Macaca fascicularis: one gene and its partner. The protein of the gene in region 1 binds, or shares a complex with, the protein of each later gene. Links are inferred from orthologs where the notes say so. Each region holds a gene or a part of one and is shown on either strand. Other genes may lie near its edges.

The links.
Region 2: the proteins of NF2 (region 1) and LATS2 are in contact, whole or in part, in a crystal structure (PDB 4ZRI), measured with the Homo sapiens proteins. The link is inferred for Macaca fascicularis from reciprocal best matches to the Homo sapiens genes NF2 and LATS2. Residues at the interface, in NP_000259.1 of Homo sapiens: Pro135, Glu136, Ala137, Val139, Leu140, Tyr144, Asn175, Leu176, Tyr177, Gln178, Met179, Trp184, Arg187, Trp191, Glu206, Lys209, Ile210; in NP_055387.2 of Homo sapiens: Tyr73, Ala76, Leu77, Glu79, Ile80, Arg81, Ser83, Leu84, Leu85, Phe87, Ala88, Asn89.

Annotation. Positions count from the first base shown.
Region 1 is NC_088384.1:21,983,171-21,998,452, forward strand, and holds the end of NF2 (merlin), read right to left. Parts: intron 13,997-15,282; coding exon 13,869-13,996; intron 10,774-13,868; coding exon 10,611-10,773; intron 8,878-10,610; coding exon of another isoform or gene 8,876-8,877; coding exon 8,765-8,875; 3' UTR 8,661-8,764; downstream 1-8,660. UniProt on the Homo sapiens protein: Probable regulator of the Hippo/SWH (Sav/Wts/Hpo) signaling pathway, a signaling pathway that plays a pivotal role in tumor suppression by restricting proliferation and promoting apoptosis.
Region 2 is NC_088391.1:931,586-948,135, reverse strand, and holds part of LATS2 (serine/threonine-protein kinase LATS2), read right to left. Parts: intron 16,323-16,550; coding exon 16,190-16,322; intron 13,981-16,189; coding exon 12,563-13,980; intron 8,204-12,562; coding exon 7,621-8,203; intron 6,752-7,620; coding exon 6,569-6,751; intron 4,956-6,568; coding exon 4,849-4,955; intron 1-4,848. UniProt on the Homo sapiens protein: Negative regulator of YAP1 in the Hippo signaling pathway that plays a pivotal role in organ size control and tumor suppression by restricting proliferation and promoting apoptosis.

The DNA of each region.
Region 1 (15,282 bases):
GTGACCAGTGACATCTGCCATGCACTGTCCTTCAGAACTCTCACTGAATCTAAACGAGGTCCAACCATGGGAGTCCCGCAGCAGGGCCCTGCTCCCTGGGCAGGCTATAAACCCAAGGGCCCTGCTCAGAATCTCCAACCCAAAGCACTCCTGCCAGTTCCCTGAAGATGCCTACAAGAACATGAAGCCTCCGCACCAGGCATGGGCTGACCCGCTGCTCTCCTCCAGCTGTCTCTTCACATCTGATTAGAATTAGCCGTGTGAATAACACAGGAGGAATTAAGTTCTCTCTAGACTGAACCGGCTGCTCAAGTCTGTCACTAATCCAATTCCATTCTGAGGAGACGAACTTCCTTTTCTTTCTCTGGGGCGGATCTCTGAGGCTTTATTGCTATCTGACTGTTCATCTTCACATCCCCACTCTGATCCACTTGTTGGCGCCTGGCTTTTCCTTCCTGCCCAACATCGAGACTCAGCCCCTCAGCCCCAGCAGAGTCCCTTTCCCCCTGCCCACTTGTCCATAAAACTGCCAGCTGTTTGTGACAGCCAGCAGGCTGTGAGAGGGCAGGGGAGAACTTAGGAGAGTTCCATTCTGGCAGAGCTGGGCCTCCTTACACTCCCCAAATTGTGTGTGGTGTGACAAAAACAGGCACATTCACCCGCTCTAAACAAGTTCAGATTCAGGAGACACATCTGTCTACTTAAAACGACAGAGGAGGCTGGCTAAAAGAACCTGGTACCCGGCTGGCACTCTCTAACCCAGGCATGCAATCTGCATCTTCAACTGTTCCTCCTCACTGCTACCTGAGGATTTTGGGTGGCCCATTAAGGTACTCCTGAGAAATGGCCCCAGGGTCTGGAGAAAGCAAGCCTGGAAGGCACCTGGGACAAACATTCCCCTGCTGCCCTGCCAGCAGCAGAAGGCTTCCAGCTACAAAGCCTCCGCCAGCATCGTTCCTGAGAGTGCCCCCTGCTGGAAAACCACAGTACGAGGCGCACAGCCAACTCTCCTTCCAGCTCTCCTCTAAAAGTCCTTTTGGGGGATCGTTTCCCAAAGTGATGGGAGGGTAACTAAATGTATTCCGGCACGGAGCCTGCAGCAGCAAGCCTGCTTGATTAAGAATGAATTACACTTTCATCAGCACAGAGAGAAAATTGATTCACAAGGCTGCATTGTGATCATCTTGTTCCTAAAGCAAGGGAAGGTGGGGGGAGACACAGAGCCACTTCGGCTATCAGTGGTGAGAGAAAGGAAGCTGTACAATTAAGCTGGGGAACAAAACTAATCAGAGCACCAGGATTCCTTCAGCTCGTCTCTGGGGGCCTTGCCTCAATCCACTCATCCCAAGGGAGGAGAAAAGAAGGCAGGAGGGGACCATCTCATTCATTTTAAACAATAAGACTCACAGCGCTGAACCCATTTTAGATACTAACCTAATAACTCCAGGTGCTGGGTCTCTGCTTGTCCCATAAAAATGCAGTGCAATTGAAATGTGAGCCCTAAAATCATGTTATACTTCCTCTCCACTACTACATATTGAAAACGAAGGAGCGGGGGAGGGTGTAGACACAAAAGGACGTGCAGATCCTCTGGCACGCGGATCCATGGGGAGAAAGCAGAGTCAGAGCAGAAAGGTGACAGCTGAATCCAGTAGCAGCAAATTCCAAAAGAATCTTTGGTTTGGGGTGTGGGAAACCTTCCCCCTTCCAAATGAGCCAAGAGGAAGGGCCAGTGAAGGGGGATGGCTGTACTAAGTGGTCAGATCAAGATTTTCTTTTTCTTTTTCTTTTTTTTGAGACGGAGTCTCACTCTGTTGCCAGGCTGTACTGCAGTGGTGCGATCTCGGCTCACTGCAACCTCTGCCTCCCAGGTTCAAGCAATTCTCCTGTCTCAGCCTCCTGAGTAGCTGGGACTACAGGCGCGTGCCACCACGCCCAGCTAATTTTTGTATTTTTAGTAGAAACGGGGTTTCACCATGTTGGCCAGGATGGTCTTGATCTCTTGACCTCGTGATCCGCCCGCCTCGGCCTCCCAAAGTGCTGGGATTACAGGCATGAGCCACCACATCCCAGATCAAGCCTTTCTGCAGTCTTGCTAGGGACAGTTTGCACCCAAATGCCATCTAGTGATGTGCACAGTGGGAGCACTATCCATACACTTAACCTACACAGAGCTGGAATGAAAGGCCAAGTCCACCCCAATGAACAAATCCAATGTGGTATTAGCGACTTTATCTGCTCTCAAGAGAAATCTGCCACTGAATACCCAAGGGGCCTTTTTTGTGTATTAATCCCTGAGGGACCCAAAGCAGCAGAAGCTGCCTGGAAACCTGTCTGCCTGCTTTGCAGGCTGCCCTGTGGCGCCGGGGGGGCCCTCCGCTGCTCCTCCGTTCCTTCCCCTGACAAATGGCCTAATGGGCCTGATTCACCTTACTGGGCAGGTGGCGGCTATCTACTGAGTGATCTGAGCAAGAGCCTTAGGAAAAAGGTCCAGATAGACTGATGTCATTTTTAAATTGCCAACATCAAAAGAGAAATCACGGCAAGGATCATGAGAACAGAACCTCGGGCTCGAAGAATGAGTTTGCATCCGGCTCTTCCCTCCCACTGTTGCAGCAACAAATCCGGTGCGGAGGAGAGCTGCACTGAAACATATCTTCAGTGCCCAGGGGCCAAACGGGATGTTTTACTGCATCAAATAAGGCCTGGTAATATCCTCAGGCACTTCCAAATGGTCGTAAAATACCTAGGCAGGCAAAGCAGGTTTGTAGGCTCTTCAACACCTCCCAAAGAATAACTGCTTGACCAGGTAAAGTCTCTTAACCAAAAAGAGGATTGGCTTGTAGACTTTTGGAAAAGAGGCTGATAGTTCTTCTATCTAGAGAAACAAGCAAGAAAACTAAGCTCTCAACAGTTACGAGAAACCAGGAACTCAGTGTGTGAGAGTGGTAGGAGTGGCCTTCAGGGATGAGCTCAAGGTGTCCCAGCCGGGAGGAGCACTAAGAACAGCCCACAGTTCCTAAAGCCTTCCCTGGGCTTCCACAGAGCCAGGAAGTGGAGAGGAAGAATTCGGATGGCCTCTGCAATTTCTTCGCAGTGTGCTACGCCCACATCTGGTGCTGCTACTGCTCCCTGTTAATGCTTGCTACCCACCCCACTCCCCACTCCTTTTTCTTTCCTTCCCCCTCTCACCCCTGCCTTGCTCCAGCAACAAGAAAGGAAAGGTTCGGGGCTGGCGAGCCAGTATGCTACCTTTTATGTCAAGGCCAAGGATGCTCTACCCATACAACACCCAGTTCCTAGAGCAAGCAGAGCCATTCGGCCCAATGGGGTCATAAGGAGGGTTGGCTATATTAACTACCTATTAAACTTAAGTAATTTAGCAGCCATCTTCAGGGCTGGCAGTGCAGACCAGAGGTCGCCAGGGAGGCTCTAGCCACTTGTTTTAATTGTGGGAGACGCCTTTCCCGCATATGCAATCTCTCTCTGTGATTTATCACTTCCCCGGGTGTTTTTTTAACTGTTCTACTTCACTTCACCGGCTCTGCAACTCCAAGGGGAGCCCGCACAAATTGAAGATGACATTGGACTTTTATGTCTTCCTGATCCAAGAGAAGCTGCTGGCGCTTGAGATAAATGTCAAGGCTCCTCTTCTTCCTGTTCCTCCATCAGTGGAAACCACAGCTGGACCTTGACGGTTCAAACCATTTACTAATGAAATAAGCTTTCTAAGCTCCACCACCCCCATGATTTCTCATCCATCAATTTCCTTGGAAATCCTGTGCTCCCTGGGAGACCACAGGCACAAAAGTGATGACTTTGTTTGCTGACACTCAGACCAGCTCAGGATTGGGAGACTGAAACCCCTCTTTTGAGAAAGGATGAAAGAAAGACCCTGAATGTATATATTCCAAGACTGCATTTTACCTTCAAGGTGTGGTGGTACAGTTATGCCACACCAAGCCACCACTCCCATCATCAGCACTGTGGCTCTGAAGGCACAAAAGTCAGGCTCAAGGCACCCTGTGTCCCCCAACCCCAGCCTGACTGCCAGACTCATCCCCCTCACTTGGAAGGCTCAGATGCCAGGACACGTGTCGCTCCCACTGAGAATGAAACAACTCCAGGTTCCCTAGGGTGGCTTCTGATCGCTAGCACTGCTCTGACTCAGATGCAAATGCCAAACTAGTTGTACTGATCATCAATTGGGAAAAATGGAAATATAGGAAGTTAAGATTAGCAAGAGGAGAAAAATATATCCTTGCAAACCCAAGTCAAATATTACAAGGAACCAGTGAAGTTAATTATGGCTATTTATTTATTTATTTATTTTTGAGACAGAGTCTTGCTCTTGTTGCCCAGGCTGGAGTGCAATGGCATGATCTTGGCTCACCGCAACCTCCACCTCCCAGGTTCAAGCGATTCTCCTGCCTCCGCCTCCCAAGTAGCTGGGTTTACAGGCATGCGCCACCACACCCGGCAAATTTTGTATTTTGGGTAGAGATGGGGTTTCTCCATGTTGGTCAGGATGGTCTCGAACTCCCAACCTCAGGTGATTCACCTGCCTCGGCCTCCCAAAGTGCTGGGATTATAGGTGTAAGCCACTGTGCCTGGCCAATTATGGCTTTTTAAAAGTTTTTACTTCCAGCCACGTAGCAATTAATACAATGAATGAAGATGCCCAGCACAAGCTGTGTACCTAGATTTGGCGGTGTGGCCCACATGCTGTCCTTCGCCCTTTGCTGCAGGATCACAAGCAGATTTTCCCTTTTCAGAGTTTTAACCCCTTACTGAGCTCTGACTGTGCACTGAGTGTTTCATGCACATTCTCTCATTTATCCCTCACAACAGTCCTGGGGGCAAAGACTATTTTTATTCACCTTTTGAAGGTGAGGACACTGTGCCTTGAGAGAGTAAGAATTCATCCTTTTTTATGGCTGCATGTATACATATGTAACAAGCCTGCACGTTGTGCACATGTACCCTAGAACTTAAAGTAGAATTAAAAAAAAAGAGAGAGGGGCCGGGCGCGGTGGCTCACGCCTGTAATCCCAGCACTTTGGGAGGCCGAGGCGGGCGGATCACAAGGTCAGGAGATCGAGACCACAGTGAAACCTCGTCTCTACTAAAAAATACAAAAAAAATTAGCCGGGCGCGGTTGTGGGCGCCTGTAGTCCCAGCTACTCGGGAGGCTGAGGCAGGAGAATGGCGTGAACCCGGGAGGCGGAGCTTGCAGTGAGCCGAGATCGCGCCACTGCACTCCAGCCTGGGCTGGGCGACAGAGCGAGACTCCGTCTCAAAAAAAAAAAAAAAAAAAAAAAAAAAAGAGAGAGAGAGCGCGCGAGCGAGCATAAGAATTATAGAAGGCCGGGCGCGGTGGCTCACACCTGTAATCCCAGCACTTTGGGAGGCCGAGGCAGGCAGATCACAAGGTCAGGAGATCTTGTGAAACTCCGTCTCTACTAAAAATAGAAAAAATTAGCCGGGCGCAGGGGCGGGCGCCTGTAGTCCCAGCTACTCGGGAGGCTGAGGCAGGAGAATGGCATGAACCCGGGAGGCGGAGCTTGCAGTGAGCCGAGATTGTGCCACTGCACTCCAGCCTAGGCGACAGAGCGAGACTCCGTCTCAAAAAAAAAAAAAAAAAAAAAAAAAGAATTATAGAAAAAGGAAGTGGCAGAGAAGTAGGAACCTCGGTTAATCCGACTGGATAGCCGCTCAGCATTCCTGAGGAAATGTGGTAACCCTTCATAACCTAAGGGCAAACTCCTTGAATTAGCTTCAATGTTACACAGCCCCCATGGGTACTGCTGAAATCACACAGCAGACTCTGAGACCTCTCAGTGAGGCAGAAGAGTACTGAAACCGAGGACAAACACAATGGCCGGGCGAGATGGCTCATGTGTGTAATCCCAGCATTTTGGGAGGCTGTGGCGGGAAGATCCACTTGAGCTTAGGAGTTCGAGACCAGCCTGGACAACATGGCGAAACCCATCTTTACAAAAATAAAAATTAAAAAATCAGTCAAGCGTAGTGGCAAATGCCTGTAGTCCCAGCTACTTGGGAGGCTGAGGTGAGAGGATCGCTTGAGCCCAGGAGGTTGAGGCTGTCACCAATGTGGGTGACAGAGTGAGATCCTGTCTCAACAAAACAAAACAAACAAAAAACCTCATTAAAAACAAAAGAGGGCCGGGCGCGGTGGCTCAAGCCTGTAATCCCAGCACTTTGGGAGGACGAGACGGGCGGATCACTAGGTCAGGAGATCGAGACCATCCTGGCTAACAGGGTGAAACCCCGTCTCTACTAAAAAATACAAAAAGCTAGCCGGGCGACGTGGCGGGCGCCTGTAGTCCCAGCTACTCGGGAGGCTGAGGCAGGAGAATGGCGTAAACCCGGGAGGCAGAGCTTGCAGTGAGCTGAGATCCGGCCACTGCACTCCAGCCTGGGGACAGAGCGAGACTCCGTCTCAAAAAAAAAAAAAACAAAAAAAAAAACAAAAAAAAAAAACAAAAGAGGCCAGGCACGGTGGCTCACTTTTATAATCCCAGCACTCTGGGAGGCAGAGTTGGGCAGATCAGTTGAGCTCAGGAGTTCAAGACCGGCCTGGGCAACATGGTGAAACCCCATCTCTACAAAAAATACAAAAATTAGTAGTCTCAGCTACTTGGGAGGCTGAGGCAGGAGGATCACTTGAGCCTGGGAGGTGGAGGTTGCAGTGAGCCAAGAACGTACCAGCCTGGGTGACAGAGGGAGATCGTGTCTCAAAACAAAATAAAACTAATATCAATGCAGGCTGGTTTGATCCCAGATTAGTGAGCTTTTGGACACTGGAAACTGTTCCATTCACTACCAGCTTTTGCATCTCATCCCCAGGCATTCTAGATGGAGTTCTGCCCTTGACATCTAGGTATTCCCACATCCAAGCCTAAAGCAGCACTTCTCTTCAGCTAGGCTTGTGCCAGCCAGACTGCAGCATGCACCACCCCAGAGCCACCCTAGTGCAGGCATGTGGCTGCTCATCAGTCCCGGTCACTGACCACAGGGACTGCCAAAGTCTAGAAAATGGAACGTGCACTGAACTTCATGTGCAGCAAAATTTAGTAGTGCAGCACTATTTAATCTAGTGATGCTGAGAGAACGCCTGTCATATTAAACATCAAGTCCATGCTTTTATTAACCCTTGATTAACCCGAGTGTTTGATTAACTGCCTGGCAGCCTGCTTTAAAAACAAGTTCACATCAAGACATTAAAATGAATGAATAAATAAATGCATCCATGTATGTCCTAGGAGCAGTGCAAATTTAACTAAAAATGAAACTTCTTTTGTCTGCAGTAAAAGCTCAGTGTGAAATGACAGTCAGAATCAGGACCCTGAAGAATTTCAGCACTCTGCATCATTATAGAAGGAAGAAAGAAGAAATCACATTCGGGCTGAGCAGCACCTTCCCATGGAGGGAACACCTGGCAGCACTGGGTGAAATGCAGCGGGGTTTTCTGCTTGTCCTCGTGGTTACAAAAAGTTCAGTAAACCAAGGTGGGTCCACCTGGCTGCTCTGGGTGCTGTGAGCTGGCCTGCCCATGACAACGCTGGCCATAACTGCCCTGCTCAGAGCACGGACTGTTCTGTATCAGGGTATCAATGCCAACATGGGTATGAAAGCTGAAGAAACAGGAGCCCGCTAAATGAAAGTGTCACATACAAAACAGGGTTCATGTCATGGATTCTTGGAACCACTGATGGCTCAAGTGTACCTTTTAATAAGATCTATCAGGGACTTTAACAGCTGACCTCTCTTGATGGGATAACGACCACAAGTAGGATCTATCTTATGCCAGACCTCTTTTTGGTAGGAAGGTTCCAATTAGCTTATTCTACTCTATGAGCAGAAACTGCGGGGAAGACTCCAATGGACACATCCTACGCTGCTGTCGGGTGGTGTGGAGCTTGTTGGCATGGGTACTACTGGGGATTAGGTGAGAAGTAGAGGCAGGATGTCATTTTATTGTTGGGCAAAATACATTCTCTCTACTGCCTAGGCATGCTGGAATAATAACGAACTGTTGCAGGAGAAAAGCAGCAAACATTCAGTTAATTCATTCAGCAACCAGTGACCGCTCCTCTCCGGGGTGCCATGACTGTACTGTTCCAATGTGAGTTCACTCTGACCACATCTCTGCTCAGCCTGTGGAGTGGAAGCTGAAGCAGAGGCGGCTGAGCACGGACGAACAGGCAGTCCACTCCCCGTGGACTCACAAATCAGACCCCTGTGCTCTGGGTTTGCTTTATTTGAAAGGAAAAGGGCTGTGTACAGAAAGGGAAAGCTCTAAAGGAAAATGAGCCAGCACAGGCAACCCCTTCGCCCCACGACCAGAAGCTGCCAGGAGTGACCACGGGTCTTGAGAGGCTGTCACCGCGTAAAAGGTCTTGATCTCGAGTTACAGACATCAGTCTCAAAAGTGCCCAGATTGACCCCATTTCCATGCTAGGAGTATGCCACCAAGACAAAGGACTTATAGACACACCTGACTGGACAAGAAGCCATAACCTTCCCCAGCCCAACAATGACACGAGATGGGAAGAACGGCCGGTCCTACAGCCCCATGACATGCTCTTCGGAACGAGGCAGTCTTCTGGGGCCCTGGAGGCTGGTCTGGCTCCACAGGGCGGGTGCCTGCTTTTAGACTCAAAGCATGCTGCGGCCAGTACCCAGGCACCACCTGCCCTCGTAAGGGCTCAGTGTGGCCTGAGGACAGAGACAGGCAAGCTCATGCACGGGTTAGTATCACAGAGGGCAGTGCCATCACCACAGAGAGAATACCTGGGAACAACCTACTTTGAGGGCTCAAATGCAGATAGGTCTTCTGCCTTGGGCTTGAGGCTAAACCAGCAAAATAAAATGAAGAAAAACAAAAACATACCCTGTGATATCAACAATGCCATAAGTGCTATCTGCAAAATGCTTGGATAGGCCTGAAATCGTGACGAGTGATCTTGTTTGTTTTAATGGCTTGGAACGGGGTCTCTCCAGCTTTCACACTGCAGGTTTCTGTGGCTGAAGGCCCCCCTGCTCATTGCAGCCGCAGTGGAAATGGTGAGACTGTTCCGGGGACCCAGATGACAAGGCTGGGGGTAAGGGGTGAGATGGGGTGTCTAAGGCAGTTCATTTAAGGGCTGACTGGCTCACTGGCTCAGTCATTGTTTTACCTCTTTCCTTAATGGCTGAGGCCTCCCTTGAACTTCTCTTTACTATTTAATAATTTTGTTTTGGAAGGGAAGCCTGGTAAATTACAGAAGCCAGAGAAAAGAAGAATGTGGAATGTGGAAATGCCTTTCCTTCTAGGTTGCACTATTAAAAGGAATTCTCTACCCAGTGCCAGTTCTGACTGGAGTCGAGAGGTAAAAGTCAGGGCTGCCTGCTGTATCCAGTAACGATGGCAGGTAGAAACAGATCCCCTGGAGTTTTCAGATACAGCTTAACCACTAAAAACAGAGACAGTCCGTAAAACTGGAAGCCCATTTTAAAGACTGAGGTAAAGAGTAAAAAATTAACTGCATCAGTATCACCTAAAGTCAATGGACAGTTTTATCTTTTTGTTTGTTTGTTTGTTTTTGAGACAGTCTCGCTGTGTCTCCCAGACTGGAGTGCAGTCACACAATCTCGGCTCACTGCCAGCTCCACCTCCCAGGTTCACGCCATTCTCCTGCCTCAGCCTCCCGAGTAGCTGGGACTACAGGCACCCGCCACCACGCCTGGCTAATTTTTTTGTATTTTTAGTAGAAGTGGAGTTCCACTGTGTTAGCCAGGATGGTCTCGATCTCCTGACCTCGTGATCCACCCGCCTCGGCCTCCCAAAGTGCTGGGATTACAGGCGTGAGCCACCACGCCCAGCCCAGTTTTATCTTAATAACACCTATTTTATAGGTGTTAACCTGATCCTGGGCTATCAGTTAAGAGCAGAGCATTATTTGGCAAGAGAGGACCCTTCTGCTTGGCCCAAATGAAAAAGGTATACTCTTGGGCTGATAATTAGTATGAAATTTAGCTTCTGAAACTCAACAATGCTGAAAGCTCAAAATACCAATAGAGAAAGATATGAAACCATTTGCAACATAATAAAGTCTTCTCTTTCAAAACAAAGAGGTTCTCTCCTAGACACTTCCTTTTAAGTATGAAAAAAGTTAAAAATTCAGTTTGGTTTTATAGTCCTTGCCACTTAAAGACACAACAAGACTAGAGGGAAAGTGCATTCTCAATAGCCTCCATTTCATTCTGCTTTCTCATAAAGTAAGGCAGCTCCCTGGGCATAACACCCCTTGGCTTAAAAGGGCTTTATGCTTTACTGCTAAATGATGAATCAAAACCCCTGTGTAACAGGGGTTCATTATGTCAGAGCTTTTAACACAAGCTCAACTGCCATCCAGCCAATGGGTTCCTAGTCACTGGCAGATTACATTCCCTTTCTGGCATAAGTTTAAAAATTTCCTCAACTAAGTACATACAAAAGATGCTAACAGTCTAGTGACTTGGCTACTGAGAAAACCAGATGCCAACCTCATATTTCATTAATGATGGTCCTGATCAGCAAAATACAAGAAAGAGACCCTGGGTACCTTTTTAATGGTATTGTGCTTGCTGCTGCCACCCCTGTCGGAGTTCTCATTGTGCAGAATATCCAGAGCCGTCTCCCTCTCTTTCAGTTTCAAGGCCTCGATTTCTGTCTTGAGTTCATTGAGCTGCTCCTGCAGATGCTTGCTCTTTTCCATGTATTCCACTCTGCCGGCAAGAGGGTATCATGCATCAGGGCTTGGGCGACAGTGAGATACGGCTCAGGTGCTCTGTGGCCCACAAGCTGCTTGGTGCAGGATCTAGGGTTTGAGGCCTGAGGTTCACATCTTTACTTGGCCACTCACAGGCCGTGGAGCTTAGGCTGGTCACTTAAGTGCTATGAATGTTTCCTCATCATTAAAATTGGGATAATGATCACAGGGCCGTGGTCAGGATTAAATTTTTAAAAAGTGGAGGCTAGGCATGGTGGCTCCACCTGTAATCCCAGTACTTTGGGTGGCTGAGGCAGGAGGATTGCTTGAGCCCAGGAGTTGGAGACCAGCTTGGGAAACATAAAGAGATCCTGCCTCTATTAAAAAAAAAGAAGAAGAAAAAGAAAAAGAAAGAGTAGAAAAGTCCTTGGTAAATTCTCATAGGGGGCTCTACAAATACTAGCTGTCACAGACAGCTTTTCGTTCTGCACCAAAAAAAAAAAAAATACATGAAACAAGCTTCCTGGGAACCCAGAACAATCTCCTTGTCTCAACCCTTCTTGGAGCAGTAATTCAAGTAAACTCATTTTTTTTGATAGGATCTTGCTATGCTCCCCAGGCTGGCTTTGAACCCCTGGCCTCAAAGTGCTGGGATTACAGGCACAAGCCACAGCGCCCAGCTTCACGTGATCTCTTTTGATAGGCCACATCCACAGTCCCACTTGTTCTGAGACTTCATCTAAAGATGACAGAAGCTCACTCAGAAGCTCACCCAACGCAAGGAAGAAAAGATCCCTACCCTCACCTGAGAACAGACACACTGAGTGACAGCATCTATGATGGTGAAAGTCTGGAAACCACCCACAAAGCGTCCAACTACAAGGCATGGCCAGAAAAACCGTGCAATACAAATACCAAAAACATTCCATAGGGATTGCCATGGTTAGTATAGAGACTGCCAATATGTGCAAGGGTAAGAAGTGCTATGGTCTGAATGTTCGTGTCTTCAAAATTCATATGTGGAAACCTAATTGCCAGCTGGGCGTGGTGGCTCATGCCTGTAATCCCAGCACTTTGGGAGGCCAAGGTGGGCGGACCATGAGGTCAGAAGTTTGAGACCAGCCTGACCAATATGGTGAAACCCTGTCTCTACTAAAAATACAAAAGTTAGCTGGGCGTGGTAGCATGGGCCGGTAATCCCAGCTACTCAGGAGGCTGAGGCAGGAGAATTGCTTGAACCCAGGAGGCAGAGGTTACAGTGTGCTGAGATCGCACCACTGCACTCCAGCTTGGGCAACAGAGCGAGACTCCGTCTCAAAAAAAAAAAAAAAACCACAGGCGTCAGGAGATGGGGCCTTTGGGAAGTCACGAGGGTAGAGCCTCATGAATGGGATTAGTGCCCTTATAAAAGAGACTCCAGAGAGACCCTTCATCCCTTCCACTGGGTGGGCACACAGCGACAAGGGCTGACTATGAACCAGGAAGAATGCCCTCACCAGACTCCACCTCTGCCCGTGCCTTGATCTTGGCCTTTCCAGCCTCCCAAACTGTGAGAAATCAATTTCTTTCTTTCCTTTTCTTTTTTTTTTTTGAGACAGGGTGTCTCTCTGTTGCCTGGGCTGGAGTGCAGTGGTATGATCTGGGCTCACTGCAACCTCTGCCTTCCAGGCTCAAGCAATCCTCCTGCCTCAGCCTCCCGAGTAGCTGGGACCACAGGCATGCGCCACCACACCCAGCTAATTTTTGTATTTTTAGTAGAAATGGGGCTTCGCCATGTTGCCCAGGCTGGTGTGAACTCCTGGCTCAAGCGATCTGCCTGCCTTGGACTCCCAAAGTGCTGGAATTATAGGCATGAGCCACTGTGCCTGGCCAAGAAATAAATTTCTGTTGTTTATAAGCTACCTAGCCACTGGTATTTTGTTACAGTAGCCAAAACAAACTAAGATAGTAACAAAATACAAACTATAAAATAGCAGAATAGCTTCACCCTGATCCCCGATCCCAACCACATAAATATATATGTCTGGATAATGGTGAAAGGAACATGGACAGCAGATATGACAGCTAGAGGCTCTGGTTCACTGGCTACTTAGCTATACCCTCAATGTGAAAGCCCAAAGAAAAACAGCCTGGATTGTGGTTGCCCATACAGGACTCCATGGAGACACTTTCCCCAAAGGTTTTTCCTGAGGATACTACCCTTGGTAAAAGCACATGGGCTGCAGAGTCAGATGGGTGAGGGGTTTCAACCCAGGGGCTCCTCTGCATCAGCTGTGTGATGCTGGGGGAGTTCACTAAACTCTCTAAATCTGAATTCTCCCTTATAAAATGGGAACATGAAAACCTACCTTTGATGTCAGTTTGATGTTTGTCAGTTAGTAGGAATTAAATGAGACAAAAGCCAAAAACCCTGACACACAGGCACTCAATGCATGGTAGCTGCTGTGGTTGTCCTCCGGCAAGCAGTGGCAGTTAACCAACTTACCACTAGCTCTGGGAACTAGGGGCCCTTGCTTAGACTTCCTCTGCAGTGGGGATCCTTTCCTTTCCATCTCTGATCCACTTCTACCCACCATAAAGGGAAGATGGAGGGCAGTTCAGCAAAAGCTGCCATGATCAGGCCATGCTGGGGCCCTGCCCAGTGCCATCCACTGCAGCAAAGTGGCCCCACCAGCTGTCAGCTTTCCTTAGCCTTGAGCCTGAGTCTCTTCTCTAATCTTTCTTTGTTCTAGACAAGGGAACCACCGTAGATCCCAGTCACTGGAAAACTCAACTAGGAGGCGACTACAGTCCAGTAGTATAACAGCAGTTGAACTGACTCAGAGATGCTAACAACCCAGTCCTACACTTTAAGTGAGGTTTAGAGCCATCATAAACTCCAGGTCACTAGTCAAGTGTTATTTTTATTCATTCAGAATGAATGCTGATCTGTTGTCCCTTAATTTCCAATTAAGGAAATTCTTCCTCCAGCAGGTAAGAGCAGAGCAAACCTTTGTAGGAGCTAATGACAGGCTGTTTCAGCAACCCCTCACCTCTGCCCCAGCTTCCCAAGGCCCCAATCACTCACTCTGGTTCATGGCTGCCCACAGCAGGGCACAGGGGGCTACATACTTTTCTTTCTCTATCTCCATGGAAAGTCGCTTCATGTCAGTATCCTTGAAGTCGAAAGACAGGCTGTCACCAATGAGGTTGAAGCTTGGTATGTCAGGAGGCAACGGTGCTGGAATTGGGTTCATGGGCTATTAATGAGAAATTTCGGATTAGGAGCTTGGGTCATACAAGAACAGAGGGGCACTACTGTGTTGACAACTGATCCTCCAGCAGCCACAGCGGCGATAGGCACAACTCAGGTCCTATCTCCCAATGCCACTATGAGCCCCTCCACTTCAGTCCCTCCACATTTGCCACTGCCAGGTGAACAATACCAAAGACTACAAATCCAGGAAAGTCATCCCTCACCCCTCAAATCTCTAACCGTTCTTCACGCTCAGCTGAATCAAACACAAACTCCCACTCGCTTTTTCATTTAGGAAACTCCCGGGCCCTGTGAGAGGGGCTGGAGATGCAGAAAACAAGACAGCATCCTTGGCTTTGAGCAGCTGAAAGTTGTGTTCAGGAAATAGATGTGTTCACAGATCATCACTGTTAAAAAAGGTAAACACTGTAGCCAGGGAGCGAACAGAGGCTAGAAGAGATGCTGCTTTTGCTGGGATCCAAGACAGTGCCACGAGAAGGTTTGCCAGGTGGGAGGTATGGCAATGGGTGGGGCACTGCCCAGCGAGGGTGCCAGGAGTCTGCCATACAGTGTGGAGAGGTGGGGTGGGAGATGGGCACCACCACAAAGGGCTCCACCTGCCCACCCAGGGGCTTGGGATTGGACAATGGAACCGGAGTAGGTCTTGAAGCAGGGGTGGTGTAGTTTTTTTTGGTTTTTGTTTCTGACTTTCATCCCAGAACAAAGGGTCATCTAAAGAGGGCCCCAATCTAGCTCCCTGGCTTCTCCTACTATTTGCCCTACTAAGTCACAGTCAGTATTGTTTATTATCCCCTGGACTACTGCCTTCCCATCTCTGTACCCCTGCCTATCCCATTTCTCCTCCCTATGCTCCATCGCTCTTTCAAGGCCCTTCTCAAACACCATGATCTCTCACCAAAGCCTTTCTAGCCCCTCCCAGCCAGCCGGCAACCCTTTTCTTTACTGTCCCTTAATGCTGTGTTTACAGTTCTCTAATGGTTCTTCTGCAATTCCACCCTGTAAAAGATTTCTTTTTGGCTGTATCTTCTTTCTACTATTTGCAAGTTTCCTGTAAACAATCTGCCTCTTTTTCATCCTTGGATCCCGTACTGAGTCTAGGACACTGTCTGGGAAAGAGCAGAGGCTTGGAACATTCATTTGAGACATTCTCAAGGCCTGAGGCAGACTGTCTGCAGGGGTGCTGAGAGACAGCTCCTGGGGTGCCAGGGATGTCCTGTTTTCTGATCTGGGTGCTGGGTACATAGGTATGTTCAGTTTGTGAAAATTCTT
Region 2 (16,550 bases), on another chromosome or scaffold:
GGATCACGAGGTCAGGAGATCGAGACCATCCTGGCTAACACCGTGAAACCCCGTCTCTACTAAAAAATACAAAAAACCAGCCGGGCGAGGTGGCGGGCGCCTGTAGTCCCAGCTACTCGGGAGGCTGAGGCAGGAGAATGGCGTAAACCCGGGAGGTGGAGCTTGCAGTGAGCTGAGATCCGGCCACTGCACTCCAGTCCGGGCTACAGAGCAAGACTCCGTCTCAAAAAAAAAAAAAAAAAAAAGTCAGTGTCATTTCAGTTGATGGCTCACAGCCTGAGGCCAGAATGACCAGTCAAATGCAGACAAAAAGATACAGATTTTCTTCTATCACAAATACTGTTTAGCCAAAGAATGTTGTGCTTTCCATAAAAATGAAGAGAATGATGGTCTACGAGTTATTTTATTTATTTTTTTATTTTTATTTTTTTGAGATGGCGTCTCGCTCTGTCACCCAGGCTGGAGTGCAGCGGTGCGCTCTTGGCTCACCACAACCTCCGCCTCCTGGGTTCAAGCGATTCTCCTGCCTCAGCCTCCCGAGTAGCTGGGATTACAGGAGCCCGTCACCGTGCCCGGCTGACTTTTGTATTTTTAGTAGAGACAGGGTTTCACCATGTTGGCCCGGCTGGTCTCGAACTCCTGACCTCAGGTGATCAGCTAAAGTTATTTCTTTAGCTATGGCAATGGATTTCTGTCAAACCATCATGGCACTCATTCAAATACTTACTGTGGTCAAAAAACAGCCAACTAGGGTTTTGAAAAACAAAAAGGGCCGGGCGCAGTGACTCACCTGTAATCCCAGCACTTTGGGAGGCCGAGACGGGCAGATCACAAGGTCAGGAGATCGAGACCATCCTGGCTAACATGGTGAAACCCCGTCTCTACTAAAAATACAAAAAAACTAGCCGGGCGTGGTGGCGGCGCCTGTAGCCTGTAGTCCCAGCTACTCGTGAGGCTGAGGCAGGAGAATGGCGGGAACCCGGGAGGCGGAGCTTGCAGTGAGCCGAGATCATGCCATAGCACTCCAGCCTGGGTGACAGAGCAAGACTCCATCTCAGGGAAAAAAAAAAAAAAAAAAAGGAAAAAGAAACCTCATAGAGAAGAATAAAGCTGGCTGACCCCATGTGACCTTACGTGCTCCACTGCACAGACCAGCCATCTGGACGTTCAGTAAATGCGCTTGTTGTAGAGATGTGTCTACTGTGAAGACGAAACCTAGGGCACTTCTTTATTGTTTACACTTAGCGTCAGGAGGAAACAAGGCCAGCATGACTGGCTACCAGCTGGGGTGACAGGACAGTGGATAAAGCATGGAAGTTAGTGGGTGTATGGGTGGGAGGCTTGGTTTGAACCTAAGTAGTGTTTTCATAGAGCTAAAACTGTAGAGCTCCTAGAAGAAAACATAGCATGAAATCTTCGTGATGTTGAGTTTGGCAGTGATTTCTTAGACATGCCACCAAAAGCACAGGGAATAAAAGAAAAAATAAATTGGACTTCATAAAAATTTAAAACTTTTGTGCATCAAAGGACATTACTGATAGTGAAAAGGCAACAAAATGGGAGAACAGATTTCAAAGCACATATTTGAAAAGGGGTTAGTATCCAGAGAATATACAGAACTCCTACAACTCAACAACAATAACAGAACCAAATAACTTGATTTATAAAGAGTAATGGACTTGAAGAGATATTTCCAAAGATATACAAATGACCAATAAGGACATGAAAATGAATTCAATATAATTAATCACTAGGGAGATCCAACTCAAAACCACAATGAGATACCACCTTACATCCCCTAGAGTGGCTACTACTTAAAAAAAACAAAAACAGGAAAATACTTACTGAGGATGTAGGGAAACTGGAACACTCAGCCACTGCTGGTGGGAATGTAAAATGGTGCAGCCACTATGGCAAACGGTTTGGGAGTTCCTCAAAAAGTTAAACACGGAATGACCATATAATCCAGCAATCCCACTTTCTGGTTTATATCCAAAAGAACCAGAAGCAGGGACTCATACAGTGGAATATTATTCCACCTTAAAAAGGAAGCTGCAACATGGATGAACCCTGAGGACATTACACTAAGTGAAATAAACTAGACACAAAAAGACAAATACTGCATGATTCCACTTGCAAGAAGTCCCGAGGCCAGGCATGTGGCTCGCACCTGTAATCCCAACACTTTGGGAGGCTGAGGTGGGTGGATAACTTGAGGTCTGGAGTTTGAAACCAGCCTGACCAACATGATGAAACCCATCTCTACCAAAAATACAAAACTTAGCTGGTGTTGTGGCAGGCACCTGTAATCCCAGCTGCTTGAGAGGCTGAGGCGTGAGAACCCGGAAGGCAGACGTTGCAATGAGCCAAGATCGTGCCACTGCACTGCAGCCTGGGATACAGAGCAAAACTCTGTTTCAAAAAAAAAAAATAAATCGGCCGGGCGTGGTGGCTCAAGCCTGTAATCCCAGCACTCTGGGAGGCCGAGGCGGGCGGATCACGAGGTCAGGAGATCGAGACCATCCTGGCTAACACGGTGAAACCCCGTCTCTACTAAAAAAAAAATACAAAAAACTAGCCGGGCGAGGTGGCGGGCGCCTGTAGTCCCAGCTATTCGGGAGGCTGAGGCAGGAGAATGGTGTAAACCCGGGAGGCGGAGCTTGCAGTGAGCTGAGATCCGGCCACTGCACTCCAGCCCGGGCGACAGAGCGAGACTCCGTCTCAAAAAAAAAAAAAATCAGTCAGTCCTGAGCAGAGCCAAACTCACAGAGAAGCAGAAGACAGGCGAGCAGGCGCTGGAAGGGAGAGTGGGGAGTTTCTGTTTAATGGGTTTTTGGATGATTAAAACATTTGAAAATAGAGGGTGGTGATGGTTGCACAATATTGTGAAGGTACTTAATGTCACTGAATTATACACTAAAAAATAATTAAAATGGTAAATTTTATGTTATGTATATTTTACCAGAATAAAAAAATCTGAATTATCATGTGGACAATTTAGTGAGTAGCTCAGCAATTCAGTCAGGGCGTGGATAATGACAGATTCCAATTTTACTGTTCCTAGAGTGAAACTAGGCCTTACTTTAGGGTTTTTCTACTTTTCTTTTCTTTTTTTTTTGAGACAGAGTCTCGCTCTGTCGCCTGGGTTGGAGTGCAGTGGCGTGATCTTGGCTCACTGCAACCTCTGCCCCCAGGGTTCAAGTGATTCTCCTGCCTCAGCCTCCCAAGTAGCTGGGATTACAGGTGCCCGCCACCATGCCAGGCTAATTTTTTGTATTTTCAGTAGAGACGGGGTTTCACTATGTTGGCCAGGATGGTCTCGATCTCCTGACCTCATGATCTGCCTGCCTCTGCCTCCCAAAGTGCTGGGATTACAGGCGTGAGCCACCGTGCCTGGCCTTACTAGATGGTTTTTTCTAATTAAGGTTATTAATTTAGGCTCCTTGGTGATCATGGCCACTAGGACATGTGAAAACTCCTAGGACTGTGTGTCAGTTGGTATATCCACTGAAGACTGCAGATTCTCAATTCTAATTCTCAATTCAATCCTTAGTAACTCAATTCAGAAAGCAAATGGCTGTCATTTTAACACTAATAATTTAGTATCAAGTGAATGACAGATTTAACTACTTTGAATATTACGAATATGCACAACTAGCCTGACCACACAGCTGACAGTTTGCAAACAATGATATCATATCCAAATAAAGAAACGGATTTCTTTAGATGTACAGTTGACCCTTGAACAACAGTTTGAGGGTCACTCACACTAGCATTTTCTTCCACCTCTGCCACCCCTGAGACAGCAAGGCCAATGCCTCCCCTTCCTCAGCCCATTCCACATGAAGATGACAAAGATGGAGACCTTTATGATGATCCACTTTCAATTATTAAAATAGTAAACCTATTTTCTCTTCTTTACGATTTTTTTTCTTTAGAAAGAGTCTCACTCTGTCACCCAGGATGGACTACAGTGGTGTGATCTCGGCTCACTGCAACCTCCGCCTCCCAGGTTCAAGCGATTCTCCTGCCTCAGCCTCCGGAGTAGCTGGGATGACAGGTGCACACCACCATGCTGGACTAATTTTTATTATTTTTAGTAGAGGTCAGTTTTGCCATGTTGCCCAGGCTGGTCTTGAACTCCTGACCTCAGGTAATCTGCCCACCTTGGTCTTCCAAAGTGGTGGGATTATAGGCATGAGCCACTGTGCCCAGCCTATGTTCCTCCCAAAGTAGTGGGATTACAGGCACGAGCCACTGTGCCCGGCCAGCATTTTCTTTTCTCTAGCTTGCTGTATTGTAAGAATACAGGATCTAATACATATAACATACAAAATGTGTGTTCATTGACTCTATGTTACTGGTAAGGCTTCCAGTCAACAAACTATTAGTAAAGTTTTTGGGGAGTCGAAGGTTCTATGCTGATTTTTGACTGTGCAGGGGGCTGGCACCCCAACCCTCCACTGCTGAGGGGTCAACCATAGTTCCTGGAGTTCCGTGTGTTCTCTGCAGGGCAGGCGTGGGGCAGGGAGACGGTGGGTCTGCAGCACACCTTTGCTGACCCTCACTGTTCTTGCCTGGAAATATAAGGTGGCAGATGGCCAAGGATTTAACAGAATTTCAGATATTAAAATGGGCCCAATTCCACGGCTTTGCTTAACAAAATAGAAAATTTAAAAATAGATAATAATTTAAAAAGTAATGAGATTACTTTTAAAAATCCCATCATATACAACTGCCATTCCTACCCTACTCAGAATAAGAGGGCGAATGCTGACCAAAGGTTCACGGGTACATGAGAAAATCAGATGTCTGCAGCAAGCAGATGCGTGGTTCCTCTCATATTACCTTCAGCTGGGTTTCTGTGGGAGTTGGTGCCAAAAAGGGCGGCTGTCCCACCAGCATCTCGAAGAGAATCACTCCAACACTCCACCAGTCACAGAGCTGAGTGTACCCTGCAAGACAAAGTTCACTCAGTCCCTACGCAGGCACGAATTCTCCTCCGAGGCGAGTTTCGGCAGATGGACCTTTGTAAGTACCTGGATGCTAATGGGTGGGGGTGGCAGCCGTGGCCGCTTAGGTTTTCGTAATTTTAATCATTGTAATAAGAAAATACTTTTTAATTTAAAAAGATTATTTTTAGTGTTAGCAACTAGTTACTAGCCAGAATTTTATGTTCTTAAAGATCACAGACAGAGGCACCAATTAAAATAACGGAAACTGAAAACCATAAAGTACTATAACCCGTGAACAGTCAGGGGAGGGTCTGGGCAGCTTGCTGGGAGGCTTCTACATCAGTTTTGGATGAAGCTGAAGCCTATGGAGATGAGGAGGGCGTGGGCAAAACCCACCAGACAATTCACGGTAAGCCGAACGCTCCTTGTGTGAGGCCCCCACGGAGCTGGGCCTTCCTCACGGGCTCCCCGTGCTGGGTCAGGGCTGGCCTCTGGGAGGCTGTAGGCTGGGCTCCTTTACCTTTCATTTTCTCCCACTTTTCCTTCAGGGCCTCATGGCCCATCAAGCCAGGCTCGTCTTGATGTCACCTAATCCTTGCTAAGTATAAACTGGGATGTTAAGAGGTCAGCCCGGGGGTGCCTGCAGCTGCATATGCCAGGGTAGCCCCCTCAGGCCCCTCTGTTATCTCCCTGTCCCACCTCTTTCTGCCCAAGTTTGGCACCAGACGCTGCAGAAAAACCCCAAGCAATGGCTCCTTGGGAATACTGCACGCGGCAGAGGGAAGCAGACCTTCACTGGGCACCAAGGTTATTCACAACCTCTCAAGGTCATTATTGCTATGTCTGTGGTCCGAGCAGTTAAGTAACTTGCGCTGGATTACCACAGCTAGCAAAGAAAACCCAGACTTGAACTGGGTCTGGCTGGCTCCAAAGACTTTAAACAACGTGTGGCGGCAGGAGCTGCCTGTCTCTGGATTAATTACACAGAATCAGATGAACACCCACCGTCACTGTGGACCATGCAGGATCACTGAAGGAATCCTCGTCTACTGAGCCAGATGTATCTGACAGAATGGAGCATCCACCCAGGAGACAAATTTTATGAGCACTGGTCATTTGACACAACTGGCACCTGCCACTTTTGCTATGGTCTAGCAGGGAGAATGAGAGAGAAAGGACCTTCCAATGCTGTCACATAAGCACCAGCTGCGCACAGCACAACTCAGCCAGGAGCCTGGGACAGAAGTGAAAGCTAGAGCCCGGAAATGTGTGGTCTAGGCACACTGAGCAGAGGTCCCGTGGCCCTCAGAGTGGTTTCCATCATTTGACTGTGAAAATGAGGCCTGGAGTCATTTCCTTGGGTCTAGGTAGAGACTGAGGGCCAGCAGACACTGTCTAATGGTGCATGTCTTCCAACCCCCTGAAGCAAGAGCATTTCCAAGGCAGAAGGGAGGCCTGTTATGTTGCGGAAATAAGTAGTTTTCAGGCTTCCATGAGGACAAAAATATGACTGGAAGCATCAGGTCCTTGGAAAGCTAGAGCCAAGGAGACTCAGCTCACAGGTCTGAAGAGACGGAGACCTCCCGTGGGGTGGCTGGCTGTGGCGCACGTACCTTTGCGAAGGAGAACCTCGGGCGCGATGTAGTTTGGAGTCCCCACCAGTGAATGTGCCAGGCACCTCTGGTGCTGCTTCCGCGCCCTCTGCTCCAGGGTCTTCAGCCTGTCCCCACACCGACAGTTAGACACGTCGTCCCAGAGGTCGCTGGGCTCCATGCTGTCCTGCCTGACATGGCTCCCTTCACCCAGGAATCGGGGGTGGTGAAAGAAGAGAACAAAACACAAAGTGAATTTTCACTCTTCAACAACTCAACGGATCCACAGCTTAAAACAGCAAAGTCATTCCAATCAGCTCCTGCCATATCAGGATAGAGAATCCCCGCTGAGCTGCTCCATACGGGCAGCCTGCTGTCCCTAGTTCGGAGACACGTGGTGAGGTTGGCGCTAGCACCAAGGTGGAAACGACGGTGAGGAATCATGGGAAACCACGCACCGTGCTGAGCTGGCAGGAAGGCACTGCAGGCAGGAGAGGCTGGAAGAACGGTGGGGACAGCTTGTAGCCTATTGTCTTAAAAATATAGTAGGCCAGGTGCGGTGGCTCACTGCACCTGTAATCCCAGCACTTTGGGAGGCTGAGGCAGGTGGATCACCTGAGGTCGGGAGTTTGAGACCAGCCTGACAAAAATGGAGAAACCCCGTCTCTACTGAAAATACAAAATTATCCAGAGGTGGTTTTGTATTACAGTGCGTGACTGTAATCCCAGCTACTCAGGAGGCTGGAGACAGGAGAACCACTTGAACCCGGGGGGTAGAGGTTGTGGTGAGCCGAGATCATGCCATTGCGCTCCAGCCTGGGCAACAAGAGCAGAACTCTGTCTCAAAAAAAAAAAAAAAAGTAAACCTGAAATCCACTAACTTTAAAAAAAAAAATTCATATATCATTCTATTCCTTTTGGAAGGGAAGGCTGTCACACCGATTTATAAAAGAATGGAGTGACGGATAATTTCGAAATGATTAGGAGCCACTAGGATGGGATACTGAGCTGCTTGCCACGGGGTGAGTGATGTCTACACAGAGAAAATGCATGCGGCACACTCAAGACAATACCTTTCTGGTAATATTTGGAATTGTGAGTCCACCTGAACCCAGTGCAGAGGCCGAAATCTGTGAGTTTAATGTGACCATCCAGATCTATCAAAATGTTATCAGGCTTGATGTCTCGGTGGATGAAGCCCATCTTGTGGACGCTCTCAATGGCCAAAGTCAGCTCTGCGATGTAGAACCGGGCCAGGTACTCGGGAAAGACCTCCATCCGAATCAGCAGGCTCATCATGTCCCCACCAGGGATGTAGTCCATCACAAAGTACAGGCTGTCTTTGTCTTGGAAGGAGTAGTAGAGTTTGACCACCCACTCATTGTCTGCCTCGGCCAGGATGTCCCTCTCGGCCTTGACGTGGGCCACCTGATTCCGGTTCAGGACATCCTTTTTCCTTAGGGTCTTCATGGCGTACAAGGCATGAGTGTCCACCTTACAAGCAAGGCACACTTCTCCAAAGGCACCGATCCCCAGGGTTTTGATTTTGACAAACATAGACTTGTCCATCTTGGCCCTCTTAAGCCTGTTGTAATTAGACTCTTTCTGGTAGAGGATCTTCCGCATCTGTTCCTGCTCAGCTTCACAGAGTCCAGCCTGTGCAGACGGAAAGGAAGGAGGAAGAATCACATTAGAGAAGTCCCATGATAACATATGACTGGGATGGGGAAGCCCTGGAACCTAACTCGTTTTACAGAAAGGAGAACAGAGAAGAACGGGTCTCATATACTACAAAGCAAGGTGACAACTGGTTTTGTTTTGTTTTTGAGACAGTCTTGCTCTGTCACTAGGCTGGAGTGCAGTGGCACAATCTCAGCTCACTGCAGCCTCGGCCTCCCGAGTAGCTGGGACTACACGCGCCCACCATCACGCCTGGCTAATTTTTGTATTTTTAGTAGAGACAGGGTTTCATCATGCTGGCCAGGCTGGTCTTGAACTCCTGACCTCAGGTGATCTGTCCACCTCGGCCTCCCACAGTGCAGGGATTACAAGTGTGAGCCACCGTGCCTGGCCAGTTTTGTTTTTTTATATCAATATATAGACATGAATTTGGAATGAAAAATTAAGACAGGCCAGGTGTGGTGGCTCAAGTCTGTAATCCCAGCACTTTGGGAGGCCGAGACGGGCGGATCATGAGGTCAGGAGATCGAGATCACCTTGGCTAACACGGTGAAAACCCGTCCCTACTAAAAAATACAAAAAACTAGCCGGGTGAGGTGGCGGGCGCCTGTAGTCCCAGCTACTCGGGAGGCTGAGGCAGGAGAATGGCGTAGACCCGGGAGGCGGAGGTTGCAGTGAGCTGAGATCGGGCCACTGCACTCCAGCCTGGGCGACAGAGCGAGACTGTCTTTAAAAAAAAAAAAAAAAAAAAAGTTAAGACAAAAAAGAGTGTTCTTTCTCAAGGAGACTTTTGCTCTAAAAACTAAGGGAAACTTCTATTAACAAAAATCTGTGGGAAAGGGGACCACAGCAGTCCTAGAACTCCAAGAGCCATCTAATCTTTCAGCAACTTAGGGAAAATGGAAAAGCAGGAAGAAAAGTCAATGATCAGCATACAAAAATCAGTAGCACACATTAGACAGACTTGTATATGGTGAGAGACAGGGTCTAGTTTCATTCTTCTGCACGTGGATATCTGGATTTCTGTACACCAGTAACGAATACCATTTACAACAGCTATAAAAAAAATCTAGAAGCAAATTTAACCAAAAGTGAAAGAGCTCTACAAAGAAAACTACGAAACCCTGATGAAAGAAACTGAGGACACAGACAAATGAAAAAAGATCCCATGTTCACCGACAGAAAGATTTAATATTGTTAAAATGACTATACTACCCAAAGCAATCTACCAATTAAATGCAATCCCTATCAAAATACCAATGACATTTTTCACATTAATAAAAAAACAACACTAAAATTCATAGGGAGCCCAAATAGTCAAAACGATCCTGGGCAAAAAGAACAAAGTTGTTACCCGACTTCAAAATATATTACAAGCCTAGAGTAACTGAAACTGCATGGTACTGGTATACAAACAGACACATAGACCAACGGAACAGAATAGAGAACCCAGAAGTAAGTCCATGTATTTACAGCCACCTGATTTTTGACAAAGGTGCCAAGAATGTACACGGAAGAAAAGACATGCTGGGAAAACCAGACATCCATATGCAGAAAAATGAAACTAGACCCCAATCTCTCACCATATAGGAAAGTCAACTTAAAACAGATGGAAGACCTAGAAACAAGACCAGAGGCTACGAAAATATACGCCAGGACACTGGTTTGAGCAAAGATTTTTATGGATAAAATCTCAAAAGCACAGGCAAAAAACCTCAAAATAGACAAATGGGACTATATTAAGCTAAAAAGCTTCTGCATAGCAAAGGAAACAACAGAGTAAAGAGGATACCTGTGTTGAACAGGAGAAAATATTCACAAACTATTCATCTGACAAAAGACTATTATTCAGAATATACAAGGAACTCAAACAACTCAACAGCCAAAAAAAAAAAAAAATCAAATAATCCTATTAAAAAGTGAGTCAAAAGGCCGGGCGCGGTGGCTCATGCTTGTAATCCCAGCACTTTGGGAGGCTGAGGCGGGCGGATTACTTGAGGTCAGGAGTTTGAAACCAGCCTGATGAACACGGTGAAACCCCGTTTCTACTGAACATACAAAAATTAGCTGAGCATGGGGTCGCACCCCTGTAGTCCCAGCTCTCAGGAGGTTGAGGCAGGAGAACAGCTTGAACCCAGAAGGCAGAGGTTGCAGTGAGCCGAGATTTCATCACTGCACTCCAGCCTGGGTGACAGAGCGAGACTCCGTCTAAGTAAATAAATAAATAAAAAGGTCGGGCGATGTGGCTCACGCCTGTAATCCCAGCACTTTGGGAGGCCAAGGCGGGTGGATCATCTGAGGTCGGGAGTTCGAGACCAGCCTGACCTACATGGTGAAACCCTGTCTCCACTAAGAATACAAAATTAGCTGGACATGGTGGCTAATGCTAGTAATCCCAGCTGCTTGGGAGGCTGAGGCAGGAGAATCACTGGAACCTGGGAGGCAGAGGTTTCGAGATCGCGCCATTGCACTCCAGCCTGGGCAACAAAAGTGAAACTCTGTCTCAAAAAAAATAAATAAATAAACTAATTAGAAAAAAAAAAAAAAGTGAGCTAATGACCTGAATAGACACTTGTTAAAGGAAGACACACAAATGGCTAAGAGGTGCATGGAAGGGTTCTCCATTAACCATCAGGGAAATGCAAATCAAAACCACAATGAAATATAATCTCTTCCCAGTTAGAACAACTATTAACAAAAAGAAAAAAAAAGAAACTAAAAACAGAACTACCATACAATGTACCAATTCCACTACTGGGTATTTATCTAAAGTAAAGGAAATCAGTATATCAAAGGGATACCTGCACCCCATGTTTACTGCAGCACTCTGCACAATAGCAAAATATGGAATCAACTTAAGTGTCCATCAACTGATGAATGGATAAAGAAAATGTGGTCTGTGTACACCATGGGATACTATTCAGCCATAAAAAAAGAATGAAATCCTGTCATCTGGAGCAACATGAATGGAACTGGAGGTCATCATGTTAAGTGAAATAAACCAGGAACAGAAAGTTCAGTACACACGTTGTTACTGATATGTGGGAGCTAAAAGAATTAATCTCATAGAGGCAGAGAGTAGAATGATAGTTAGCAGAGGTGGGAAAGGGTGTGTGTGTGTTGAGGGGAGATGAGAGGTTAATTGATGGAAACATATAGCTGGACAGAAGGAACAAACTCTAGGGTGACTACAGTTAGTAAAAATGTATTCTGTATTTCAAAATAGCTAGAAGACAGGACTTGAAATGTTTCCAACACAGAAATGATAAGTACACCAGGCATACCTTGACTTGATCATTACATATCCTATGCATGTAACAAAATATCACATGTACCCCACAAATACACAAATACTACGTATAAATAAAAAATGAACGGCTGGGTGTGGTGGCTCATGCCTGTAATCCCAGCACTTTGGGAGGCTGAGGTGGGCAGATCACCTGAGGTCAAGAGTTTGAGACCAGCCTAACCAACATGGTGAAACCCCATCTCTACTAAAAACACAAAAAAATAGCTGGATGTGGTGGTGGGCACCTGCAATCCCAACTACTTGGGAGGCTGAGGCAGGAGAATCGCTTGAACCCAGGAGGAGGAGGTTGCAGTGAGCCAAGATTGCACCACTGCACTCCAGCCTGGGCGATAGAGCAAGGCTCAGTCTCAAAAATAAATAAAAATAAATAAATAAGCACATATAAATGAAAGGTAAATATTTAAAAAGTCAATGAATATGGGACACTGGAAAGAACACAAATCTGGTTTCTACGCTTTGGAATTACTGGCTTTGTGTGATTTAAATCTGTTACATTTTAATTTAAATAATTTCACCAATAATTACCTTCTTCAGCACTTTAGTGTCAACTAAGGTATACTTAAATCATTAGTTACTAATTAAACACTTAAAAAGAATAAATGGAATCACTACTATATTTTTCTTCCAAAATCTCACAATATCAATTTACAAAACCTTAAACTTTGTTTCTACTCATTCAAAATGTTCTATTATTAATCCGTGATGAATTTTGTTAAGTGAGTACATACCCTAAAACTCAATTTGCTAATTTACCTACAATGTAAATTGTAGATTACCTACATTACGCTGGCTACATTATGCACAGCTACCTCTGATTCTTCAGAAGAGTCAAGGGGAAAGGAGAAAGGGAGGTCACACCATTTGCAACCTCTCCAAGTTGTTGGCCCCAGAACCAGACTGCCGCCCGTTAGCCGTGTTGATGACAAGGGGTGTGCGGCCGCAACAGAAAAGGGATCGTGCGCGCTTCCTATTACCAGTGTAGGGAAGAGCCGGGAACAAACAGGAAAAACGAAGTGGGAAATTACTTTGGCCATTTCTTGCTCCAGCTGCAGCCTCCGGTTAACCTTCTGCTGGTAGGTTTTGATGACGTTCTCCACGTGCTGCTCCATGAAGAACTTAAAGGCGTATGGCGAGTAGCTCTTGATGCGTGACTCTCTCTTCTCCTCGTCTCTGCTGTTTTTGCGGACGGGGACGGGAGAAGTCTGGATCTGCTTTTTATCCTTCCCGCCTTTGTCCCCCTTGGCGCTTTTGCGGCTCTTCTCACCGCCCTCGGGCTCGCTGGGGCCCGCACGGAGGCTCTGCTCCACGCCCGCGCACAGGCTGTCCAGGTCGTACTGCTCGGACTTGCTGCGCAGCAGCAGGTGCTTCGGGTAGGGCGGAGGCGGGCACCTCCGGTCTGGGCCTCCGTACTCCACGTCCAGCGGGTAGGCGCCTGCGCCGCCCAGTGCCAGGGCGTGCTCCTCCTTGGCGTCCAGGCCCTCCGTGGCCGGGGCGGGGGCTGGGGCAGGCGCGGGCACCCAGGCGGGGTGCGAGGGCCCCACAGCCGTCTGCGGCTCCGGCCTCAGCACTCGCACGCTCTTCACCGGGTGCAGGATGTGCGCGGCCGTGACAGCCGTCACGGTGTTGGGGGCGGGCAGGGAGGGCTCGGCCTTGCCGGGTGCGCCCGGCCGCGGCTGGTGGCTGTTGAAGGAGTTGGTCCTGCTGGGCACCGGGCAGTCAGGCCGGAAGGCCACGTGCGCGCGCGGCGGCGCCTCCAGGCCCGGCTTCTGCAGGGAGTCCCGGCGGGCCAGGGTGGCAGCCGGCCACTGCTGGACGGAGGTGCTGCCCAGGTCATACAGGTCCACGTTGAGGCTGTTCCGCGAGGGAGTGAGCAGGCTCTGCGGGGGGCTGTCGCCGGCGAACACCTGGCTGCGGGAGCCCAGCACATGCAGCTGGTGGGCCGTGGGGCCGGCCTGCTTGTGGTGTGGGTGCGGCACGTAGAGCCCGGCGGTGGGGGGCGGGAAAGCGAGGCCGGCGCCTGGTGGGCCCCCCTGGCCCTTGGTGGGCAGGCTGGCGTAGCCCCCGGTCTCCGGCGGCGTCTTGCCCTGGAAGGAGGGGCTGCGCTGCACCCCGTAGCCCAGGGGCTCCCCGTGCACCAGCAGGTGCGGCCGGCCGTAGTGCGTGCCCTGCAGCGGGAAGTGTGCGCCTGCTGCCTCCACGCCGGCGCCGTAGCCCTTGGGTGGGTGCTGGTGTTGGTGCTGGTGGCCGGGCCCGTGGGGGCCGACTCCGGGGAAGAGGTAGTCCACGTACGGCCGCGGCACCTCCTCCAGCGCAGCGGGGCCGTCGGCGCCGAAGCTCGGGCCCTCGTAGGGGGCACCGCTCAGCTGGTGGTAGGACGCGAACGAATCGCTGGTTCCTTCGAAGCTGGGCCTCCGCGTCACAGGGGCTGGCATGAGCCCCTTTCCTGCCGTGGAAAACACAGGAAGACAGCATCAGAGTGGGTGTGAGCAGTGGGTTCCGGCACTTCCAGGCTGGTCCCCACTCGAGCGCTGCCCCTGGGGCTGAGGGTCTTGAACCCTGGGCCCTGAGGTGCTGCATTCTGCCCAGCACAGGGTCAGCGGACTCCCCTCTGCCCTGCCAGCAGGACCAGTCGCCCTAATGTGTTAAGAGAGTGGAGACAAGCTGGAGGCCAAAGGGCACATGGGAGGGCCAAGGGCAGAAGAGAAGACCGCGTCCGCATGCTGAGTTGCATCCTTGGCCCCTGGGGACAGCACTGGGGTCACTCTCCTGTCAGGCTAGGGAGCCATCTGCATAGCCAGCTTTGTTTTCTTTTTTTTTTTTTTTTTTTTTTTTGAGACGGATTCTCGCTGTGTCACCCAGGCTGGAGTGCAGTGGCCGGATCTCAGCTCACTGCAAGCTCCGCCTCCCGGGTTTACGCCATTCTCCTGCCTCAGCCTCCCGAGTAGCTGGGACTACAGGCGCCCGCCACCACGCCCGGCTAGTTTTTTTTTGTATTTTTAGTAGAGACGGGGTTTCACCATGTTAGCCAGGATGGTCTCGATCTCCTGACCTCGTGATCCACCCGCCTCGGCCTCCCAAAGTGCTGGGATTACAGGGTTGAGCCACCGCACCCGGCCGCCAGCTTTGTTTTCAAAACCCTATCATGCCAAATTGTGGGAAGCTGGGTTTACCCCGCACGGTTCCCCAGGCGCGGCTCCCTCACAGAAAGGGCGGACCTGTTTCCACTGTGCAGCAGCTGCTCCACTTTCTTTCACCTCTTTTCCAAATTAAAAGATTTTCTAGTTTTTTTGGTCTGTATCAAAACAAAGCAACATATGCACAACAAAAACCACACAAAACTCCTCTACAAATATCCAGACTGATTTCATCTGCTGCTACCTTAATCCTGACCTCCATTTTGAACATCTCATCTGGAACAGACACCGGAAGGAAGGACAAAGGCTCCTTTCATTTCTTTAGACCAACTGCTCCACTTGGCTGGACTTAGCAGAGGGTGCCGAAGGGTGTGCCTTGCCCACAGGAAGACCACCTCTGATACGTGGCAGTGAAGGCCCTGACAGCCTGGCACTGAGCAAGTCACAGGCAAACCAAGGCTTCACTTTCCCTGGGCTCAGAACACATCAATGAACAGACCCGCCAAAGGCAAGTGCAGAGGGAAATCAGCATGGAACATGGGCCAGGCCTCCCTTTGAGCTGTGCTCTAAGACCTCAAAACTGGAAGAGCCCTGACATGGAAGGCCAGCTGGGGACTATTTAAGGAAGTTCCTTCTCTTAAGAAGAAGATAAAAATGTGTGTCCTCTTAACAAGGGAGATACAAGTTACAAAGGTGAGATTTTCTCACCCACGACATGAAGTAGGTTTTATCCAAGGTCTTCTACAAAATCGGGAAAACTCTTGATAATTACTATGATTGTTTTTTTTTAATTTTTTTTTTTTTTTAAATAGAGACGAGGTCTCCCTCTGTTGCCCAGGCTGGTCTCCAACTCCTGCCTCCTGCCTCTGGCCTCAGCCTCTCAAAGAGTTGGGATTACACAAAACAAAACAAAACAAAAAACAAAACCAGACCAGACAGTGTTGGGATTACAGGCTTGAGCCACTGCACCTGGCCATGAATCCTTTATCACACCCCAGGGGCCTCAGGTACCATCACGGGGCCCATGTGCTCCATCTTGGGAAATTAACATTCCCCCATAGCCAGTAAAAAGCAGGGGTTTGGTGCGGTGCCTCAGGCCTTCACAGGGGATGCTGAGGGGGGCCCAGCGCTCTGCCCACACTGCCTGCCACTGAGCAGCCACTCTCGGAGGCTACAGTGTGAGAAAGCTGTGTTTTAGAATTGAGGAAAGAAGCCATCCTTGTCAAAGATCCCTCCACAGGCCCAAGAGAAAGTGAAAAGACTATTTTTATGCCCACTTTGCTGACTTTTTTGATCTTTCATAAAACAAGCACACACCTTTCCCTAGGTAGGAAGTACCAAGGTAATCTCAGACAAGGCTGGACGGGGCAAGCGCCAGGCATGTCCCATGGTTTACTACTTGGGGCTGCTCCCACCAGGGCAGGCTCTGGCCAGGCCAGGCTGGACCCCTCTGCACATGGTTTTGTGTCCTTAAGCCACAAACCATCTTTGTCCACCACGCTGCGGGCCTGGGCTCACCTGGGGAGGTCTGCTTAATGACCCGCACGATCTGCTCATTCCTCGGGTCCAGGTAGCCCATCTTGCTGATGTACTCCAGGGCAGCCTCGATGCTCCTGCTGCCCGTCTGCTTGAGAGCTCGGCCAGCCATCTCCTGGGAGGGAAGTAAGGGAGAGGTAAGTGCACGTCATCCTAAAACAAAGCCCCCAGGGACTCCCGTCCCCACTGTGCTGGGACACTTTGCCTCTGTAGCTGCTGAGAACCTGCAACGCGCTGCAGGAAACCCTCAGAATGAGTGTGGGTGGCTGTGTGCCCTGCAGGTGCCTGATGACAAAAGCCTAGCACAAGCCACACCATGGACTACTTAGCCTTACGTCAAGGA